2 linked regions of the Oreochromis niloticus genome follow. The protein of the gene in region 1 purifies or fractionates together with the protein of each later gene. This does not show direct contact. Links are inferred from orthologs where the notes say so. Each region holds a gene or a part of one and is shown on either strand. Other genes may lie near its edges.

Region 1 (7,448 bases):
ATGTTACACCCTAATTTGTATACATTTTATGATTTCTGGCCAACACAAGATTTAAACTGGAATTTAGTTCTTCATGTGAGTACTACATAGTTTATAGTAGACTCCTCGGTAAGGATTTTTAAAAGCCAAGAATACCCCACACACTACCCAAAAATAAGTTCTGAACATTAAGAAACACAAGTAAAATAATACTGATTTGATGTTATGCAAACCTCTATAATATAACCACATCTTTGTATCCTTCTATAACAAAAACAAAGGACAAGAAACGGGAGGTAGCACAGAAAATACAACACTGAATATGGTGAGGTTGATTCTCAAGTTCAGATAACTGGGGAGTATCCTAACACTGCGCTAAGAGAACACAAAGGCTTCTCTGGAAAAGTGGTTACATTTGATCCCCACAGAAGGTAAGGCAATGACACCATCTAGCATGAAATGAATCTGAACCATGTGCATGCTTAAACTGAAAGTCTATTAATGGCCTCATTGAAAAACCCATTTCTAAACGAAATCTATCAGACTCAAACCACATTCTTATTTCAAGGATTTCTGCTGGAGCAGATGATGTATACATAGCTTATGGTTTATTTTTCATCCGTCCTTTCTTAAGAGGCACTCTGTACAAGCATGAAGCCACACTGCTGCAATACGTATTTTCAATATACCTTGCTTGCGGACATCTTCCACAGCAGCAGTCAGCTCATCCTTGAGGAACTGACTTTCCTTTGCAATCTTTTCGCCTTTCTCAAGGAAGTTCTCGGTAGCAGTCTCCACTGATGCAGCCAAAACATGGGCCTTCTTGGAGCGCCCCTTCCTCTTGTTAGATGGTCCTTTATTGCTGGTGTTTACCAAAGTGGTGACCTATGGCAGAGATTCATTAGGATATTATATACCTGCCTACAGTTAATAAATAGTGATAAGTCTAAAAAACAGACAACATATGACACTGCCAGGCAAAATACCACAGTATTAAAATGGTGAAATGCAAGAATGAACCACAGAAATAAATCATATTTTTTTACTTTGCTGTTTTGTGAAATAAGATGTGTAAGGTGCCTCCTTTTAATAATATTAATACTTGTTGTATTACCTGTGTGACCAGAGGCTCCAGCAGCCTTTCCACTGCCAGAGTACGGATCTCCAGGCTCTTCGGGTCCCATTTAAAGTTGATGTTTGGTGCGGTGTTGCTAGTCATGATGTCTAGTTTACTGTTTTTTGTTTGTTTTTTTAAAAAAAAGGTCAAAGAGAAAAAAATGAAACAAATGACAAATTAATTCTTCTGAAGCAGAAAATGTAGACTACAGAAAAAATGGACATCTCTGTCCTTTGATTAACTGAATATTTGCTTCCCTGAATGACTTTAAAGTTATAATTTTTCTTCATAAATCAAGATTTCTTTCAGATTATCAGACTAGTGTCTAGAACTCGGTGCATTAAAGAAATTATTAAAGTCCTTGTTAGAGCCGGCAGTGCTCCATTGCTTTCAGAATGAATGCCAACGGCAGAGCACAGCAACACAGTGGCCCAATTTCAATTTCTCTTTTCAGGCAGTGGCTGCGACCCCATTGATTAGCTATCAAACATGGAGGGGCAGGGATAATCAGGATGGCCCGAGGGCTGAGGGGCTTCAACTGAAAAGTTGGTCAGCTGTATTATGTGAGGAATTACAACACTAGCTATTAGCCTACATTACCAACAAAAATACAAAAATATTAAGAGAAGAACATGGTAACCATGGCTGTCTAATTTTATACTGAATCGTTATATATTAGGCGAGCCATTTTCAGTTCTCCTGTATTATTAACCACTTTTCTTCTTTCCGATATACACAGAGTTTCTACCCATGAGTTAACACGCAGTGAAACTGATAATGTTGGGCAGTGTATTGAAAAAGAAATTCTGTAAAGGTTGTTTGACGAAACGTCTGTTTGTCCACACAACATGACGCATTTCCACTGAAAGCAACGTGAAATGCTAGTCATGACACGAAGGGCCAGCGTGGGAGAAACTGCGTTCACCTCCTCTGCATGGGCGTGGTACATGTCGCAAAGTGATATCTACAAATCTCTGCAAATGAAATCGAAACAGTCTAGCAGGCTTGAGACCACTGATTGTTTATGTACGTGACTTGGGCAAAAATAATATTAATGGTTTAAAACTCTCAAACTAAGCCATATGTAGGTACTAATAAGTGTATATACTGTATCCAAACAGGAAAAATCCCGTAACAAAAAAGAAACATGTTAACACTTGCTGAGAAGCACTAGGGTGGGTCAAACACCTGGTGTGCTAACATTAGCTCAACTTCCACCTGTTGCTAAAACTACCTAAACAAACGTCGGTTTTACCCCGTCAAAAAGCGTCAAACGAGAATATACAAAGCAGAAAATACTCGTGTACACATTTAACACCCAATAACGGTACATCTAGGTCATTTTCGATACTTTATTAACCGCAGGCTACAGGTAACATTAAAACCAGCTTAGCTTAGCGTAATGCAGGTTACCTGCTGTAACACGGAGCTCTCCAAACACAGCGATGAGCTAAAGCTAATGCTAAGCGACAAACAACTGTTAGCCTGCTTTCTGCGGCAAACTTTACCGCCTCAACAGACGGTCCAAATAACTAGTCCACTCATTTTTTTTAAGTATTCACTGTACATAAAGTAAGAAAGACTCGTTATATACTCACCGACAACAGTCCGTTAGACAAAGTGAAGTTTAAAAGTTCAAAATGGAGGAATGGGAATTGCGGAATTCCTTGCGTCAAAAGTTTTCCTCCCGTTTCCTCGCCCCACGGACTTAGTTTAACTGCGCCGCTCACTCACGATAAACACCTAAGTTTTCCTCCCTCCGCCCGACGGCTATACAGAAAAGTATCACAAGCGCTCCAGCAAGTCAGCTGAAAAGTTTCGGTTAGGAGAATTTCGATGGAGTAACGTATTACCCAACAATAGATACGGTAAAAGGAGGAGGAGGGGGGCGCTGGGCGGTGACCAAGTTCCTGAACTTCCAGGCAGTGGAGAAGGGAGGCCACGGGCCACAGCAAGTCCGTAAAACCAGGAGGTGTTTTGGGCGTGGTGCTCGCTGTGTATGTCCATATATGGATTAATTACTGCTTCCATAAAGGCAGGAGTAGGGAAGCGCTATTTAAACTGTTGGGCTACAGAACAGGCTTCTGACCGAGGAAGGAAAATAAACTGAAAGTAGTCATTATGAAGGAATCTGATGTTCAAATATGACATTTGATTTGAGGGGATTTTCAGACGTGACATTTTATTGTAATAGTTTTTGTTTTGTTTTTTCTGCCAGAATTTCTTCGAGATGCAATCATAACGGCTAAACTAGAAAGCCAGGAAAAGATTTACTCTTCTTAAGTCTATCACAACAGAAAAAATAATCATTAAAAAAAAAAAAAACAGTGAAATTCTCCTTGAGCAAATCAGTTCATAATCTCGTATTATTGTTAACTCATGTATTGGACCTTTGTCTCCTGTCTTTACTTTCCTCTCTGCACTGCACCACTCAATGACAGCAATGAGCTGGTGTCGATAACAAACTCCAAGGTTTAAGGTTATTACCACAGGCAGTTGCTCTTTTGTCTGATGCTTATTTTCTTACTCTGTCTCTCTGTGTGCGTCGCTAGCAGAATGTAAAACAGAGCCTTTTCAAACTGAAACTATCTTTTTGTGAAGTATCACGGGCCGTGCAAAACTCATCAGAATTGTGCAAACTCTACTTTTTCCTTATTTACTGTATTTCTATTTATCTTAGCACATATTTCATTAAACATAAATATGCAGAACTAGAGGGGTGAATCAAAACTTTTGCACATCACAGTACCTTCTGCTAACTTGCTGATTATCTTCCTTTCAGCTCCTTTCATCTTTAATGTTAACTAAATTTTGAGCGGCTCGATTTGTTTTAAACTAAAATTATGTTTATCTTTTGTTTATGCTCATGGGTTTTACATGTTAGCAACTCTGTATAACAGAATCCCCTAGGGAAAGCCAGCTGATGTGGCATCAGGTGCACAGACACAATGGGCACGTTGAAGCGCCACTTACTCATTTATTATTAATAAATAAACATCATACGAAAACACTGCAGGCATTCTAGACAAGTAAATTAACCAGCATATCTAGAAATGCTTTGTGGATATGCAAACATGTATGAATTCAACTCTTACGAGGTCAAGAGCAAATATATCTCACGTATGTTGTGGACTGCACTTTTGTGGTTTGTTTCAGCAGTGACTGAGAACACTGAGACATTTGATAAACATATTCAAGTGCTGGGTATTTTGGTTCAGGCTTGATGAAGTGTGAAAGACATAAATAGATTATCTAAAGAGGCCAGGTGCCACCCCTCTAGCCTCACTTTTCTAATTCACACATACACGCGCACACGTATAGCAGTGGTAGCTTCAGTTCTTGGTTCTTGGTTGTATAGAACTAGCTGCAGAGCTGGCAATTAATAGTTTATTAATTAAGTTCAATCTGTATCCTTCTAATGTTATGTGTGTTTATGGCACAAGACACCTCTTAAAGAAATACAGTACTGTGAAAAAGTCTTGAGTTACCCCTCATTTTGTAACATTTTGCTTCCAAGGAGCCAGACTTTCTTGCAATATTGCAAAGTGTTTGTAAGTAAAAGTCCTCCAGGCTTTTCTTTTGCCATTGTTTGCTTTTTAGTCATTTTCAGTCCAGTCCTTGTACCTGACCACTTTCGGAGGAATGTGTTTTTGTGTTTGTTAAGCTACTTAACATGGACCTGTGAAAATCATGTGCTTGAGAAAGGGGGGAAAAATCCAGCAAAGACTTGACCTGAGCAGTACAACTGGCCTACTGTTCAGGAGAGCCACTAAAGGCAAACAGAGGAATAAAAAGACTGAAGTATGCCATATTAGATAAGAGCTGGACTAAAAAAATCTGTTATCTCTGTGCTGGTGTTGTTAATGTTGGTCAGCATTGCTACTGACCAGTCATATTTTTGTGATGTCATAGCTTTGGAATATTGAGAAAAAAGAAAACAAATTACTTTGTTTATATTAAACTCTTATGGAACAAATGGTAAGTGTTTAATTTTTTAAAATAATTTTATGCAATATAACAAACATATGATCAAGTTAGCGTTTCTTTTAGCCAAATTTAGGTTACTTGTGTTGGTTTGCTCCGACAGCGTGACTGGTCAGTTGCAATGTTGAGCCAACATTGTTATGATGATGTTGTACACACAAAACCAACACTGGGGTGTCTGTTCAGGCCTAAAAAGGAATCGCAGCAGGTCTTGTGGAGCGATTAATCCAAGTTTGACATTGTGGGTTTTAATTTTTATGAGAATGTATGGAGTAGCTCAGGAGAGAGGAAAAGCAGTGAGTGTCCACAGCCATGTGGAAAATACGGTGGAGGCTCTGTTGTGGTTTGGGGCTGAATTTAATCCAGTGGTGTTGGATAGCTTGTCTAAACTGACTTATGAATGCAGAAAAGTACCATGAGATTTTGATCCATCATGCAATACCAAGTGGAAAGCGTCTGATTGGCAACAGCTTCATATTCAAGCATAACAATGATCCCAAACACACTGCCACTGCAGTGAAAGCATAACTGAATAGAAAAGCACACAATGGAACACTATCAGTCGTTGACTGGCATCCACAGAGCCTGGACCTCAACATTATTGAAGCAGTGTGGGATAGTCATACCAAATACTGACCTTCAAAACTGTTAGAATCGCACAAACTATACGTGATTGCATGTTTCAATAGATCTGTATTGTCCAAGCAAAATATGAAGAACTGATGGGTGAGATAAGACTTTTCTACAGTGCTTCATGTCATGGTTCCAAAAAAAGAGGACAGTCATCAGTAATTCAAAGCAGTGGACACACAGAACATTACAATCAACAATGCTGTCTTGTCCTGCAGCCAAGCACAACTAACACACTTCTATTTGTTGGCTTGAGTAGGTGTTAATTAAGAAGCTCCACCAGTGCAGCATGAATTACAGTCTTGGAGAGAATGAGCTTACAAATGTACTTATCAAGCTCTTAATGAAGGCCTCGGAATATAATTATCTTTCAGAAAGACACTCCTTAATGTTTTTTTTGTGTGTGTGTGTGTAATAATAATTTGTGAAGTAATTGTTTTTGCCATAGAGTTTTGACCATGCTATAACTTAAGGAGTCATGGATTAAATTTCCATATTAAATTCTTTGGGAGGGAAATACAGCAGTGAACTATCTTGTGTGCATTATTAATTTCAGTGTAGAGCAGAGAAAACTGGCATGTACATAGTGTAACAGAGATCTGTTTATCCAATTAATACTCCATAGAGAAGACGGTTTAGATGTGGTGTAATTGTGTTCTTGAATGATGAATGTTTGTCTAAGTAACAGCTTGCTGGGAGGACAAGTTTGGGTGTCCTTGAACTTCATCTTTTTGTACCTGTTGGGCCCGACAAATGATAAGAGCGCAGCATGCTATAAATAATTCCTTCTCATTATGTGGAAGTGCACATGTTTGTCACATACTGAATGTATAATTGAGTGCATGCAAATCTTCAGCGTGTGGCACTAGAAGAAAATGTGGCAATATTATTTTGCGCTATGTCAGGTGAACATTACAAAAATCAAAATCCAAACTGGTATTTATGCTATCTTTCCTCTTAGCTATCATTGATTCTATAGATTAGCTCTACATTTCTATTCAGGGGACACAGCATCTTATTGAATCACAGTCCTTGGCACTGCTCCACGCCGATAAAAGAAATGCTCATGGTGACTACTAAATGTAAGCATCTTTCACAATTGTGTTATTATCTATTGTTTTTTTCAGTCATGGATGCAACTGTATGTTATAGCTTCCTGTCAAAGTAGTTACTCATGCTTTGACGGTGACTGAACTGGAAGCTGCCTCGCTGCTGGAGGAATTTTGTTCCCTGACATAAGGAAGACAGCGACTTTCAGTCTGCCTACGATCACCTGACTCATCCTGACAGCTGTCCATGGAGCTGCATGATGTCATCTGCAGGCTTTCCCCTTCCTAAGTAAGACCCTGTACCTTGATTAGAAATGAGTGTGTGGTGATGCATGGCATCAGAGAGAAGTCAGCCGACTAGTGACGCTAATGATAATCAGTCATTCATCGAGACAGTCCTGCAAAGCGGAACAGAAACTTACATTATTCCAGTGGACAAACAATAAGCCCTTACGACATATCAGACATGCCTACAGGTAGGTGTTAGGAAGGTGATGTCATAATATCAGAGGTCTGCCTTGCTTGTCTGATTGGACATATCGGAAGGTCACAGCGACCATGACTCAAACACTGCTAAACTATTCTTTGCAGTCTGCTGAGCTCCACCTGCTGGTTTAGGCTTTTTGATCAGACTGTTCCCTGCTATCCCAGTGGAGCTGCTTTGACAGAACCTCTCCTTGACTTAAAAA
Region 2 (8,293 bases), on another chromosome or scaffold:
GTGCTAAATTTGATGTCAGTCTGACTGAATTTTTTTTAACATGGGTTCTCATATGGGAACATTACATTTAGGCTGTTCTGCACTTCCTCCTTCATTCTGCTCAGCGAAGTATTTAATACTTTGTTACACAATTGTCCCCATGATTTAAAAAAAAAACACCAGAAAGAAATCCGCAACTTAATCATTCCATGCCTAAATTTGTCACTCTGTAAACTTTCTTTTTATTATTATTATTATTATTGTTGTTGTTGTTGTTGCTGTTGTTGTTGTTGTTATTATTATTACTAATATAAAAAGTACTCATTTAAAAAAGGCTCTGACATCTTTAAACTGTTTATGTTCTCACAAATGCTAGCAATACACACACACACACACACACACACACACACACACATATATATATATATAACTTAAGAACTCAAGAAGTTTATTGTCATTTAGTATGGTGTTACCCAGCCTGAAACGAAATACTGTTTCTCACCAGCCTCTACAGTTTAAAAAGCAAGTCATTATAAGAAAAGCAAATAGCAAATAGTCAGCAATTTTGTTTGATGGCTCAGTCGATGTATAAGTTGCTTAAAGATTAAAAAAAACTGTCACACTTTCCATGAAGAGATTTTAAAAGGATATTTGGGAAATAAGATAAGATGTATTGTTGTCATGCAATAGCTGGGAACTATGTGCACACACTGCATACGGTCAGTGTGCTTATTTAACTTCCTGTTCAGTTTCCTGCATGGCCTATTTATGCTCTGGTTTTGTTCATAATATGCAAATAAGATATAAAGTATGTTTATAAATGAACCCAAGAGGTGATGCTCAGCACATTTTCCTAACTTTTGATGGAGCAATTATAGCTGTTTCCACAGATTTATTTAACCTGTGGGTGTTTATGATATAAACTGGCAAAAATTGATTTCATCAATCACTAAGATATCATCATCAGTATATATGGCTTTATTTTTGCTATGAGAATGTATTTATTTATGACTTTATTGTTGAATAATATATTTATTCAACCGTATTTAGTCACTGCGTCCTCATTGCTTTTCCCCATTTTATTGTTTGAAAAACAAAAACGGTACTTTATGTGAAATAGACAGATTATCTGGAGGAAAAAAACAATGAAACATTAATAAATCATAATCCACTATTAGCTGTTATTAACTGGCTGGCTTAAATACTGTATATACTGTACTGTATATGTATTAGGCGCTATAGCAGTGTCCTGAGCTTCCTCTCTCTTACTGGTGGAGCAGCTCTACAGATGGACTGCATCAATGAGCTAAATTCAAACCAGCTGCCTGGACACATGCACTGTGAACCCTGCATGTCAGTAAAAATATTTCCAGACATGAGATAACTTGTTTTGTAATGCTACAAAAACTTTACATCTGGCATTTTAGCAGGTGCGAGGCTTTTAAAAAAAGACACCTACCAAATGTTAGATGAATTTTCCCTGTGAAGACGGCAGGCATCAAAATCACTTTTTAATATGCTGGGCATCAATACCCAGCTTTTGTCTTGTTTTCTTCTCTTACAATGGTCACCTTTAGTGGATGTAGTTCTTGGGAATGTTGACCTATTGAGGAGTAAGTATTGAACAGCTAAGACATTTAGTAATTTGAAATGCCTTTAAAATTCCAGCATTCTAGCATCTTGGATTGCTTCTTATTGCCTGATTTAAAAGATATCTAGCACATACTTGGGAATTTAAGAATTGAAAGGAAATTTACAAGGTAACAAAATAACGTTACTCACTAATGCCATCTCTCTCCATTGGCTGTCTTCTGTCTGCTATCTAGAAGTTTTTCTTATGCAACCAAGCTGATAAGCTCAGCACAGAGGAAAAATAAACAGTAAAAAGCATCTGCAGAATTCACAGAGACTTACAAAAACAAAGCAGGCAGTATCTTTGATCCATGTCTCTGTTAAAGTTTCCTTGAGCTGAACTTATCCCCTAGTTTAGAGAGATAATAAGTACATGAAATGTGAACTATACAAAAGAGTGTAAATTCTGTTGAGGCCACAGTGATGCAGCACTTTTAGAGTGTACAGCTTCCTTATTCTTGTATGTTGGGGTGGGGAGTATGTATTACCCCCCACCCCTTCCATGCATCATGTACTCCTTCCATGCATCCACACAGTTATCCGTAGGGTGAACGGTGGGGCACACTCGTTTGAACTTTTTAACTTTAGTTACTCTCTCATTTTGTGTGTGTGATTTTTAAAAAGTATTATAGTTGGTGTATTCTGGTTCAGGGTCACTTTTAAGTGACCCACTTCCCATCTTGGAGTCACATATTTAACCGCATTGTGCAGGTTCTTCGGACATGATGCGATTTTATTAGGGTTTGGATACAGCAGATTGAATGACGAAATCCACTAAAACAGTTGCCTGAGAGTTTACAGGCATACCAGAAAGCATAGATCAGACATCACAGTGAATGAGCGCATCGGCGAAAAAGCTGGATTAAAACGCGGTTCTTTAACAGCTAACATGACAGATCAACTGGCCGGGTGTGACAGTGCTGCTTCCACTAAACATACACACAGGAAGTTGATAACGACTATTGTTTCCTGTCACTGAGTCAAAAATGAAGCTGTTTTGGTTCAAACCACAAACATCAGTTCACAACACGGACCAGCTGTAAGTCTGTGGACAACGTGTCCTAAGATTATTTCAGTTGTTATATGTGATGAAAAATGATTTTTCTTGTCTTATCTTCTCTCGTCACAAATTCTCACACCGTTATTAGTGTATAATTAGATAATTTAATCATTTAGAATGTATTTACACATAATAATGAGGATCGAAGGAGGGGAAAAAAGGTTCGGGGGAAAAACCGCAACTGCAGCAGGTTGAATGTGTCAAATACACTCACATCCTTTGTTAGGTAAAGACACGCCCCTGTTGTTTCCTGGTTGGCTACCCTGTCCTCCAGTGCCTCGTTTTTGTACTCTTATTGGTTAAGACGAAAAATCTGTCAAACCGGAAGTCCCGCCCTGTTCAAACATCAATGAAAAGTGTACGGGACCTCCTGAGTGAAAGTAAAGTCAAGCTAGAAAGGAAAGAAAGAAGAGATGAGGCAAGTCCGGAAGTAATGAAAGTGTTTTTTTCATAGTAAAAGAGCCCAAATTGTTGAAAAAGATTAAGAAACTGCAGTGTCGTAACTAGTTAACACCAGGCTCCAAGTAAGATAGTTAAAGCAGGTCTTTCCATCACAGTGTACCTTTCATATGTCTTTGAGGATTATAAATTGATAGTCATACTGATTTTGACCAATAATAAGCATACCCAAGTGTTTACAGGTGTTTACAATAAAAACTCTGTTTTGCTTAATTAATGTGATTGCTGTGCCCATGTTTATTATTTCATGCCAAAATAGCCGTAGTGAACAGAACCAATTATTATTTGTCCAATACCTCATTTTCACTATCTTGGGTTCTGTGATGAAGCAGCCTCATAAGTCTGTAAAAGTAAATATTTTTGTTGCGTTTTCCTTTTAAAGTCTTTTCTGAGACCGCTTTATTTGGTTTTACTTCGTTGTTGCTCTGGAGTGCCAGGAGTGCCAGAATGAAATAAATATATAAAATAAATATATTGTTAAATAATTATCTGAATGTGTCATTAATTCATTAGGATGTAACTGTCACTTCAGCAGTTGAGCGCAGTGACAGTTTGATTTGTTTGTCTAAAAACACAGATCCCCAGGCTAATTTTAAAACTTCAGATCACAGCTTAATATTTTCACATGGAAAACTAGCGAATGGATGACGCTGCTTACTTCACACCAGCACTGGCAACCCCCCAAAATTAGATAATAATTTTAATAAACATGAGCGCAAGAGAGAGGAAGACACTCTACAATGAGCTGAAACATTCACTTCTTATTAATTCCTGCATATACAATTTTTATTACTCATATTGTGTCATTCTGTATGTCCCTCACGATTTCCCGTCATCACCCCCTTCACTCTGGCATGTGCCGACCAGAGATGGGCAGTAACGCGTTACTTGTAACGCGTTACTGTAATCTGATTACCTTTTTCAAGTAACGAGTAATGTAAGGGATTACTATTGCAAAAACGGTAATTAGATTACCGTTACTTTCACGTAGGAACGCTGCGTTACTGCGTTACTAAAACCGTGATTTTTTGCGAGAACGTCTCATGACAGTGACGTAAGCGAGTGCGACGTTCGTGACAACAGCTGTCTGCAGATCATAATATATCGAGTGCGGGACAGAGTGTAGCATGCAGCGTTTAAAGCGTGGAAGTACTGACCTTATTTTGAGTTTGAGTCCATAAAAAGTGACAAAAACATTAGCGTCCGTTGTGCGTGGGAAGAAAACTTCTTTTTACAGCGGAAAAACCCCTAAACTTCCAAGCAAGCACCGAGTGTACTACAACGTAATGTGAAATTCACAGAGAAACTCGCGGATTCTTCCACTGACCGCTGCAGCACACCTGCACCAGGGTAAACCTCCACCTACCCCAGTCCTGCTTTACAGGTGAAAATAGAGCAACAGGACCGCTAGTCTTTGATTTTATTTATTTTCTGCTGTGTTTTACTTGCATCTATTTGAAAGAGTGAGTGTAAACACAAAAAAATATTTTATTTTATGTGCTGAAATGTGCAGAAAATAGGTTTAAATGTTAAACAAATTTCTTCCAGTCAGAGAATGTTGCATATAATTTAATTTTTGCTTGATGCATAAAGTTAAAAGATTAAAACTAATAAAACAAGTTTTAAAAAGAGACTTTTCCATTTGATTACATTTTGTATGATGAATTATGCAGCAAAAGTAGAATTGGGCTGAAAGATCTATCGCTTTATCACCTATTCAGGTTGTAAATCGTGTTTTTAAAAAGTAACTAAGTAACTAAGTAACTAAGTAATTAATTACTTTTGAAAATAAGTAATCAGTAAAGTAACGGGATTACTTTTTGGGGGAAGTAATCAGTAATTAGTAACTGATTACTTTTTTCAAGTAACTTGACCAACACTGGTGCCGACCCAGTATTTTTAGTGGCCACCCCTATGAAAAAATCCTGGAGGCGCCCCTGTAGTTTAAAACAAAAAAGTCAATTTGTAAATTCTCACCTACAAATGCACACATAGATTTTGAAAATACATGCACAAGTATTTGAATATTTCATCATACCGACACAAATAAGACCCGACTCATTAGTGGGCAATGTGCATGTTTTATTTTGAAATGCCCAAACGGAAACTATCGACTTGATTCCGGCGAAATTACCACCTGTGCGGAGTAGAAGCAGGACCCCCAAAGAGAATTCAGTGAGGACAGCAGGATTTGTTTTACATTTTTCCGGCGCATTCTTCCTGTTGCCTGTGTTTGGATTTGACAGGTTTTTTTTTACGAGAAGCACGTCTGGAAAGCGAAAACGTTGAACACAAAAATGGAAATAGAGAAGGAGCTAAAGAAGGTAAGCTTTGCCCCCGTGTTCTTCGTGGATATCTCGCACAGTCCGGGGAACGCCCTTAAGGTGTGCAGAGCAAGGGACAGGTGGCAGAAAAGTTACAGTACTGTAGGTTATTTTAGAGTTTAAGTTTCGGTTTTAATTTCGAGATATTAATTGTCTTTATTTATTTATTTATTTTTTCAATTAAAAATCTACTTACTTCGCTTAAATAAGCTTTTTTTTTTTTTTACATCCTTGAGTAGTTGATATTGCTGGAACAAACTCTAGTCGATCGGTTTACAAACTTGGGAAACGTGGGTCGCGCCCTTTTTAGTTACTTCCCTTTCAGAATAAGTTCCTATGTAAGAAACTGCGTTTGAAATGGGACAAAGTCTCACTCTGCGTATCAACCAAACCCCCAACCTCTGTAACTTAATAGCGGAACAGCTTGACCCATTAACGGACCCATTTTACGTACAAAGTCGTCCCCCTTGTTCAGGGTTTTGTTACTGTATTAATCCGCGTTGCTCAGCGTCCTCAGCTCTCTATTAAGTGGAACAAATCACCGTGACAGTAAAATGCAAACCAGGTGTGATAGTTAATTTGTCCATAAGTAAATGTTGCCGTTACAGCTGCCGAATTGAGTATTGAACTGTCAGCAGGGTTTCAGGAATATTAAGGCTCATGTCACTCATAATACACTTGAGACTCTAAGCCAGATGCTTCAAAATCTAATGTTTTTTAAATGGAGTTTGGCCATCCAAGGGAGAAGACAAAAGTTAAGAGTCAGGACAGGCAGGAAACCCTTTTACAGTACACGCTTTGTCTAGTGAATAGTCATTCATTCCTCATCAGGGGCCACTGTAGATACTCGCTGTTCGCATTCATTAGATTCCTCTTATGCACCCCTTCTGCTTAGTTTACTTATGGTCCATAGATAATCTGTATAAATAATTCTGTTCGAGAAATCCAGGTTTATGTAGTGAATACACATGAATATCAGCCAGTCAGCATTTTCCACAGAAGCTATTATAACCTCTTAAGTAGTTTAGAAAAAGAAAAATGCATTTTAACATTCGTTAAAGCTTTTGTAGTTACCAGAATCAAACTATATGGATTATTATTGTTGTTGTTGTTATTTATTATGGTTATTGACAAGTTTGTACACAAACAGGGATTGTGTTTTGGTGGCATGGTGCAAAAACATTGGTACTGTACTGTTAACTTATGCTACTAAGTTAACTTGAGCTTTGGGGGTCCTTGCACAGACCTGAAGAGATTTGGCAGCAGTAAAGGTGGTTACACAGACTGGTGGTTCGTTTTGTATGAGTTATTAAGCTGCAATATTAATGTCTTCAGCCACTTGTAAAAATATGGTTTACATTTTTCCTGCATTAATAATCTTTTGTATACAAATTTCAGAGCTTTCAGCTTCAGTCTGAAAAATTGACTAAGAGAGAATTTTACAGGGACGAACTGTTTCAGTGAAGATGAAGGAATCCTCTGCTTAAATAGGTCTGAGCAGCTGGATAACCCAGACAGACAGTCTGACATCTGCCTGTAATCCCTGGGGGAGATCAGCCTGCCACAGCTGCAGGGTTTCTGTCTGCTAGTGGCTGCAAGTTCACAGAGATGCTGCTGTGATCTGTGTTGCGCTTGTTCAGGAAACATTACCATTGTGTTTAGGTGATATTATACTCAATTAAGGTGCTGCATTCTACTTAACAGAACGTCTGAGGTAATAGGCTGTGACTATAGGGTTGCGGTGTACAGCACTGCCATTCTGCTGACTCTTAGAAGTCTGTGGAGGTCTGGCTAGGTTTATTTCTTACCTAAACACCTAAACCATCATTAAAGCTTTCATATGACTTTGTGGTCGAAATAGAACCAGACCAAAGGATTTCTCTATTTGTTTAAATCCTGCAATGATTACAGTGTTATGAACTGAATTTCAGTTCAAGCCAGTGAGTCATGAGACCAATTAAATCTTTGTCTAAAACAACAGTAAGTGAACTGAACAATAGTAATATGTTTTATGACCGTATTCCACCTTTACAGAGGAAAGTTTGCCTTAAAAATAGAAGAAGTTGTTCATAAATTTTAAGGGTGGTTTGACTGATACTTCTTTGACACAAGATGCATACATGTAAGTAACTGAACATTCTTTTAAAAAATATGTGTTTTACATGTTTTACATCATCTTCATGATGTTACAGAAACTGTGTCCAGCCTCTGAAAGGAGCTGGTCAGCTCCAGCTAAAGCGACTACTTTCCTAGCCACTGGCCTGCAGCTCTGCCCTTCTCAAGTAAAGTGACTCATGAACTGAATCACTGGACCTGAATAGACTTTGTGTCTAAACTGGCTTGTAGCAAAAGTGTTGTCACCAAAATGAATCACCCCACAGGCTTAGTCATGAAACAAAGTCATTGATTAACTTGAAGTGTGAATCCAGATGGTGCAGCTGCCTTCCAGGGAAACATACATACATGCTGAATGAGCTCTGCCAAAAACAGTCGTCTTCCCCATGCTTGAGATAAATATTTAGGCTTTCGACCACTTAGCCTGTCCGCCCTTAAAGCATACCAATAAACGTTTGCACTTGCGAAGTTGAAAATGATGTTTTAGTTGGTGCTGTAAAATGACACTTTAAATAATTTGTCGTTTTGTCTCAAAGTTCAAGTACTTTGTTGTTAAGGTGTGACATGACAGAACATCTGCAAGAGCCTGCACAACTTTGTAGTACCATCTGAAACCCCCTGAGAATCAAGGACTGGAAGTTGGCAATAGATGCCTGCACAACTTTGTAATCTTGTTTACTTTTTCATAATTCAGGTCAAACTTTTTATTTAGACAACACTGCCT

The links. The genes of interacting proteins can lie anywhere in the genome.
Region 2: the proteins of ctnna1 (region 1) and tes purify together in Homo sapiens (affinity purification with mass spectrometry; 3 studies listed by BioGRID and IntAct, with this or other methods). This does not show direct contact. The link is inferred for Oreochromis niloticus from reciprocal best matches to the Homo sapiens genes CTNNA1 and TES.

What each region holds. Positions count from the first base shown.
Region 1 is NC_031966.2:29,111,878-29,119,325, reverse strand, and holds the start of ctnna1 (catenin alpha-1), read right to left. Parts: upstream 3,052-7,448; 5' UTR 2,695-3,051; intron 1,212-2,694; 5' UTR 1,199-1,211; coding exon 1,094-1,198; intron 865-1,093; coding exon 669-864; intron 1-668. UniProt on the Homo sapiens protein: Associates with the cytoplasmic domain of a variety of cadherins. The association of catenins to cadherins produces a complex which is linked to the actin filament network, and which seems to be of primary importance for cadherins cell-adhesion properties.
Region 2 is NC_031972.2:41,431,196-41,439,488, reverse strand, and holds the start of tes (testin), read left to right. Parts: upstream 1-5,227; 5' UTR 5,228-5,427; coding exon 5,428-5,454; intron 5,455-8,293. UniProt on the Homo sapiens protein: Scaffold protein that may play a role in cell adhesion, cell spreading and in the reorganization of the actin cytoskeleton. Plays a role in the regulation of cell proliferation. May act as a tumor suppressor. Inhibits tumor cell growth.